Daphnia pulex: one gene and its partner. The protein of the gene in region 1 interacts with the protein of each later gene in a biochemical or structural test. Links are inferred from orthologs where the notes say so. Each region holds a gene or a part of one and is shown on either strand. Other genes may lie near its edges. The genes, in order: ubiquitin-like modifier-activating enzyme 1 and ubiquitin-conjugating enzyme E2 J1-like.

Region 1 (3,865 bases):
GATGCACTGCAGACTGTATCCTCTAGGAGAAAAAACATGGTATGTTTTACTTAAATTCTGCTCAATAGAAAAGCCTTGCATCTCGGCAATCCCACTAAGACATGTCAAACTAAGACGTCCTTTGAAGTAAAAACATGTCTGAAATGGGATGAATGCTAGAACTTCATTGGGATTAATTAGAAGGAAATCAAATGTATCCAGAGTTTGGTAGACTGCTTGCAAAGAACTTGATTCCTCATCCATAGCAAAGGTTTCTTCAATACCTTCTTTTTCTGCTGTTAAAAAAGAATCATCCTCATTGGGAGAGGATTGGAATGAATTATCTTCATCAGAAATGTTGCTCTCCTTTAATTTAAGTTTTAAGGCACCAATGCCAGTCACCGACACACTTTGATTAATGGTTGAACTGTTGTCTACATTTAATTTGGATGATGTTTTGTTCTTTCGTGAAGTTTTTTTTTTAAGTTTTGATCTTTTCGAAGTTGGTTTGGTCTGTCCATTTTTTAAGGAATCATAGACACTTTTGGCTGAAAGCAAATGACTGACAAATGACAATTTTTTCTCTGCCATATTTGTTGAGTCAGAACTATCGTTTGTGTTGCTTTTTCTTGAAGAAGAAGCAGTCTTCGTTTTTTTGGTTGAGAGTTTCTTCATATTTGTCAAATCTTCGTGGAGGCTTAATGAATCTTCAAGAAAATTTTGGTTTGAGTTTTTATTTTAGTAAGCTATTTTAATAATATTCAATTATACCTGATTAGATCCTATTGTTATATTTTATTTTAAAAAATGCAGATTTTACAGTATTTTTAAGCAGCCGAATTTTCAATCCAAGCACGTGTAAAACTGTAAGCTATAACGCTCAAGTTGCCAGATGCTCTTTAATTCAGCGATCAAATTGTCGGCGGGAAATGTAACTATTATTACGCGTACTTTCTTTGTCATCATCATCACTCTATTTAATAATCGGCTAATAAAAAAGTCGACTATTGCGCCACCTTACTCGTTGATTACAGACATTTTTACTTTGGATTTTAGTAGGAATAGGGAATTGCCGGTACAAGGACTTACTTGCATCAGCTGATACCCGCCATTTCCCCATATCTACGTCGAGTCATCGGTGGGAGAAAGGTGGCAGCACGCAGCACTTTCGAGTTCATAGAAAGTACTGGTAATTACTGACTGACTTTCTGTTGCTCTCTTGCTCGTCATTCTTTCAGTTTGGCTATCTTTCGTTCCAATCCTGGTGTGCAAATTCGCCGGCATTTTGTCGTAATTGTTCATAATTCTCCCTTCGTTGGAATAGTCTAAGTGAGTATTCCAATCGTTCGGAGTTTGAAACTTACCGTAATTTTTTTTATATTAAAGTAAGAAAACTGGTTTGTTAGCACCCATTGTGACGCTCGTGTTGCCCAAGGTATTGAGTTTAATTTTTAGATGTCCACTGCTGAGGTGGATCCGTCACCCTCGTCTCCCAGTCCTGCTGCAAAGAAAAGGAAGTTGGAAGAAAATAACGGGAACAGCAGTAACGGTAGCAATCACCATTTAAAAGAAGTTCAGCAGCAACCGAAAATGGCAGGAAATGGCAACATCCACACCATCGATGAGGGTCTTTATTCCAGACAACTTTACGTATTGGGCCATGAAGCTATGCAGAGGATGGCAACTTCTGATGTCCTGATTTCCGGTCTTGGAGGCCTTGGAGTGGAAATTGCTAAGAATATCATCTTGGGAGGTGTGAAGTCCGTCACCCTTCATGACAACTCAATTTGCAAAGCCTCTGACCTTTCTTCCCAGTTTTATGTATCGGAAGCAGATCTGGGAAAGAACAGAGCTGAAGTTTCTCACAAGAGCCTGGCCGAACTCAACCAGTATGTCCCAGTAGAAACTTATACAGGAGAGTTGAACAAAGAATTCTTGAAGAAATACCGAGTTGTAGTTTTAACTAATTCAAGTCTTGAAGAGCAACTTCGGGTTTCTGAGATCGTTCGTAGCTTCGGCAATGCTCTCATCGTCTCTAAAACACAAGGTCTGTTTGCCCAAGTCTTCTGTGACTTTGGGGAAGATTTCACCATCATCGATACTACTGGAGAAAATCCCGTTTCTGCTATGATTGCTGGAGTGTCTAAAGAAGAAGCAAGTGTTGTTACTTGCTTGGATGAGACCCGGCACGGATTGGAAGATGGCGACTGTGTTACCTTCTCTGAGGTACAGGGCATGGTTGAGCTGAATGGTTGCGAACCCAAGAAGATCAAAGTACTTGGACCATACACCTTTAGCATTGGTGACACGAGCGCTTTCAGCGACTATGTACGTGGAGGAGTGGTTACCCAAGTGAAAATGCCTAAGCAAATCCACTTCAAACCGTTGGCTGACGCTCTCGAAGAACCAGAATTCGTGATGACAGATTTCGGCAAATTTGATCGGCCTCCCCAAATCCATCTAGCATTCAGGACATTGGACGCCTACGTCAAGAAGGAGGGACGATTGCCAACTCCTTGGAGCCGTAAAGACAGTCAACAGTTTGTGGATTTAGCTAAAGAGTTAAACAGCGGTCTAAGTGGCTCATCTAAAGTTGAAGAAGTTGACGAAAAGTTACTGGCCACCTTCTCCCATGTATGTCAAGGAGATTTGAACCCCTTAAACGCCACTCTCGGCGGGGTTGTCGCTCAAGAAGTTATGAAGGCGTGTAGCGAAAAGTTTTCTCCCATTGTTCAATGGCTATACTTCGATGCCACCGAGTGTCTGCCAGATAACCAAGATTCGTTGACCGAAGAAAACTGTAAGCTTACTGGATCCAGATATGATGGACAGGTATTGAAATATTTATTTTTGTTTTTCATCAGTTATGCATTTTATTTTTTTACATTTTCAGGTGGCAGTGTTTGGCAATGAATTCCAGAAAAAGCTTGGATCCCTACGTTACTTCATTGTGGGAGCTGGAGCTATCGGTTGTGAGGTAATTATCAAAGTTTTTGTAATAAATTTTCTGTAGATTTTATTAATTAAAAAATATATTCTATTTGTTAGCTTCTCAAAAATTTTGCCATGATTGGAGTTGGTGCTGGTGAAGGGGGCCAAGTCTTCGTAACAGACATGGACTTGATTGAAAAGTCCAATCTGAACAGGCAGTTTCTTTTCCGGTCGCATGACGTACAGAAACCCAAATCCAGTTCGGCGGCCGCTGCCGTGAAGGTGATGAACCCTCAGGCCAACGTTACAGCCTTCGAGAATCGCGTCGGTCCCGAAACGGAGCAGTTCTTTGATGACGATTTTTTTTCGAAATTGGATGGCGTTGCTAATGCCCTCGACAACGTGGATGCCCGTATCTACATGGATAGGCGCTGCGTCTATTACCACAAGCCCTTGCTCGAATCTGGAACTCTGGGTACCAAAGGAAACGTTCAAGTTGTTATCCCCCATCTAACGGAGTCATATAGTTCGTCTCAAGTAATATAGCTTATTATTTATTTTTTCTTTTATGCTAGTTTTCTGGTTTATTGTAATTAATCAACTTTCTTCTTAAACTTATAGGATCCTCCGGAAAAATCAATTCCTATCTGTACGCTGAAGAATTTTCCTAATGCCATTGAACACACACTGCAATGGGCTCGGGATATGTTCGAAGGGTTGTTCCGGCAATCAGCAGAGAGCGCTGCTCAATATTTAGTTGATTCTAAATTCATGGAGAGAACACTAAAGCTAACAGGATCTCAACCACTCGAGATAGTCGAGGCCGTCCACCGCAGCTTAGTTGAGGAACGTCCGAAGAATTTTGAGCAGTGTGTTCAATGGGCTCGCCTCCATTGGCAGGAACAATATCACAATCAGATCAAGCAATTATTGTTTAATTTTCCACCCGAGCAAC
Region 2 (3,382 bases), on another chromosome or scaffold:
AACGCATCAAATTCAGACCAGTGCAAAGCATCCGATTTTCGGACCTCTAGATGTTCCTTCCAGGTTTGCGTCTGCCCAAGATATTGCTTCAGCACATTATTAAGGCGCGAAATCCGCGAAATCGTAATGTCATTGCAGACAAGTCTATCTACAGCAAATCAGGAAGTAAAAAGACAAATTGTAATGAAGCATTAAAGTTAAACTGATGAATTGATTTACTTGGATAGAGCGTCTGTAATATAGCCAGGGATTTCCCTCCTGGTGCTGCACATAAATCCAAGACAGACTCAGTTGGCTGTAGGTTCAGCGCCAATACGGGAAGTAGAGATGCAGCGTCCATCAAGTAATAATCTAGTAAAAGTATCTATGACAATTAGTAATCCATAAAGTGAATCTAGATACTGAACTTACTGGAAGTACCAAAAGTACTTTTTTTAGGGGAAGGAAATCGCGAGATGTCCCCTCGTGGAAAAACAAACGCTTTGAGCAGAGAAGGGAAATCCAGGCGTTCGTCTTTTTGCTTTTCAACCACAAAGTCGTAAGTTGGCTTGACATATTCAAACTGATCTTCTTCCTCTAGCCAATCTTCCATCCCTTTTAATTTTGTTGTCGGAACAAAATTCAAGTAGGCAGAAGTTGTCTGACCAGGAGAGATGACTCTGTCATCTGTGAGCTCTTGAAAGTTTTCACTCTCCTCATCTTCAACACCAGCTTCCTTTTCGAGGACATCAGTAGGCATGTTTTCTGGGGTTTTACGTGTTTTGGTTTTTTTGGAACGGCTTTGTTCAAAAAGTTCTTGAATATCCATGCACCCCATATTCTGAATGAAAGAGAATGAAAATCAATCGAATGAATTCACATTTGAACCCAAGTACTTGTACCTTGAGCTTTTCAATAGTTTCGTTATAGTCACCGTAGTAATTAACTAAAGCACAATGTTTAGGTGTAGACAACATTGCAAGTCTTGTTGCTGGCCAAAGGTCTCCATAAAATGTACCATAAAAATCATCGAAATGATCCAGGGCTCTATCTGTGTTGGTTTTGGACCACAAGTTCTAATAAAAAAACAAATTCGGTATACTACAAATTCATTCGTTGGTATAAAAAGAAATATTTTGTTCATTCTTACAGCTTCTCTTTTGTCAAACTTGTGCCGCTGGCTGACAAAAAATTGTGGGAAATTCCCACTACCGACAGCTTGCTGCAATTTCGAGATTGAACGCCACTTGCGAGCGAACATGTTTGCTTAATTATTTTCATGCGTTCGTGATTTTTTTTAATTTTTCAGTATCTTTGCCTTTGGAATTGGTTTTGGATTATTTGGGCACTCGAGACACGACTGTGATCTTTTTGCAGCACCTTCACTTCACGTGGCCGAGGAGAAAGAAAAAATCGAGGTCTCGTGGAAATATGCAAATTGCAAAATACAAAATTCGGGCGATTCAGAGCAGACGACAAATGTGAAGTGTGGACGCCATCTATGGATAGATAAATGAGACTTTAATATCAACATTTACTGCTACTGGCGTTTCGTTACGATACGTCATCCCAAATAAATCGACGTATCTCAGTCAGATTCAGTTAGCAATTGTATGTGGTAATAACAATCAGTTTCAGTGATACCATTTCTGTATTTGCATTCTTTGAGAAGTGCACTTAATAAAATGGAAAACAAATACAACATGAAAAGTCCTGGTAATGTATATTTTCACTTTTGTTGTGCAATAGCAATTGTTACATCAAGTCTGTTTTCACTAATCTATATGTTTTTTAAAGCTGTGAAAAGGCTGATGAGAGAAGCTCAAGAGCTATCACAGCCCACTGCTGAATATTTTGCCCAGCCTGTAGAAGACAATTTGTTTGAATGGCATTTCTCAGTAAGAGGTCCGGCCGACTCTGATTTTGAAGGTGGAGTGTATCATGGAAGGATATCCCTCCCTCCTGAATACCCTTTGAAACCGCCAAGCATAATGCTTCTGACAGTATGTATTATTCATTAATTTATTGATATTGAATGAATTGACCTAGTAAATAATTGTTTCTCCTTTTCCACAGCCTAATGGAAGATTTGAAGTCAATCGCAAAATATGTCTTAGTATATCTGGTCACCATCCTGAATCTTGGCTTCCTTCTTGGTCCATAAGGACAGCGTTGCTAGCTATTATTGGATTCATGCCATCTCCTGGTATGGGAGCCATCGCATCTCTGGACTACACACAAGAAGAAAGACAAAGGCTGGCTAAAAAATCGCTAGAATTTGTTTGCCCAGAATGTGGGAAAATTTTGAATCTTCTTCAAGAGCCCAGTCAGCTGACGACAAACGAAAACGAAGCCGTTCAAGCAGAAGCCCGAGAGATCGCAGCTCAGGTTACAATGAAGGGTGAATCGAACAACGAAAACCCGCCTGAAGAGCCTGCATCAAACACTGAAGAGCCGATTGCTGTCATCCAGCCGCCCCCACCACCATCCCAGCAAGTACAAACAGCTAGCACCAATAATAATAATGATCTTACCTATAATTACATAATCGCGGCCATCATCGTGGCTTTGGCAATCCTTTTGTTCCGTCGATTTGCTTCGGGTACGAGTGCTGCCTGAGGCTGGAGTCACAATCTATAAATATTAAATCTTTTATTGATTTCCAAAAATTCATGACTAGTAGAGTTAAAATGTTGAGAGGATCTTGTTCCTGGAGAATGCGTATAACGGGACTGCTAAATTCAACTTGATTCTGTAACAATGTGGCAATGAAAATTGTGTATGATTTGTGTATTCATTTATTGCAGATAAATAATTATAATTAATTTCAGGTGATTTAATTGGTCTCTAAAACTTTAATGTTTCAAATGTAACTTTTTGATTTTCTTTCTGTCCGGTACAGGAAAACGTAGGAATACAGTTGGATTTTGAAGTGAAGATAAGCGGGACAGATAATACATCATCGCGGGGAAAAGATAACTCATTTTGATAGATTAGGTTACAGGTTTTCATTTCCATTAGTCTAGAAAAAGTGCAACGGTAGTATAGATGTCATCATCATGGGTAAAAGGTATAAAAGCTCGCTGCAAAGTTTTCGCTGTTTCTTAATAAACTTTTAATTTTTTTCCAATGCCTGAACTATAGCGAAAGAGATCAAAAGAAACAGTGGGGACTCTTCTTTTGTTGCATCATTTTTGTGACTCTCGTCATGGTCTGTTATTACCTTCCACCTGGCTTTCGATTCGGCACAAATGTACATTATTCGACATCTAGATCTTTATTTTAAAAAAAACAAACAGATGATATCTCCTAAATTGAATCTCTAACGACATATAGGATGATTGCGTTGCCCCCTATTATGCAGATAACTCCACGGATCGAGTGAAAACAATTTTATTCTGGA

Evidence for each region.
Region 2: the proteins of ubiquitin-like modifier-activating enzyme 1 (region 1) and ubiquitin-conjugating enzyme E2 J1-like form a complex in vitro, tested with the Homo sapiens proteins (2 studies listed by BioGRID, with this or other methods). The link is inferred for Daphnia pulex from reciprocal best matches to the Homo sapiens genes UBA1 and UBE2J1.

The regions. Positions count from the first base shown.
Region 1 is NC_060018.1:5,973,979-5,977,843, reverse strand, and holds the start of ubiquitin-like modifier-activating enzyme 1, read left to right. Parts: upstream 1-1,014; 5' UTR 1,015-1,162; exon of another isoform or gene 1,163-1,308; intron 1,309-1,414; 5' UTR 1,415-1,434; coding exon 1,435-2,811; intron 2,812-2,872; coding exon 2,873-2,956; intron 2,957-3,027; coding exon 3,028-3,447; intron 3,448-3,531; coding exon 3,532-3,865. Other genes in the region: polynucleotide 5'-hydroxyl-kinase nol9-like, read right to left, coding at 1-654. UniProt on the Homo sapiens protein: Catalyzes the first step in ubiquitin conjugation to mark cellular proteins for degradation through the ubiquitin-proteasome system.
Region 2 is NC_060019.1:13,202,588-13,205,969, reverse strand, and holds ubiquitin-conjugating enzyme E2 J1-like, read left to right. Parts: upstream 1-1,501; 5' UTR 1,502-1,664; coding exon 1,665-1,695; intron 1,696-1,776; coding exon 1,777-1,982; intron 1,983-2,055; coding exon 2,056-2,598; 3' UTR 2,599-2,814; downstream 2,815-3,382. Other genes in the region: 5-methylcytosine rRNA methyltransferase NSUN4-like, read right to left, coding at 1-148, 220-351, 412-820, 882-1,055, 1,130-1,240; alpha-(1,3)-fucosyltransferase C-like, read left to right, coding at 3,039-3,049, 3,124-3,232, 3,316-3,382. UniProt on the Homo sapiens protein: Catalyzes the covalent attachment of ubiquitin to other proteins. Functions in the selective degradation of misfolded membrane proteins from the endoplasmic reticulum (ERAD) and is essential for cells to recover from ER stress.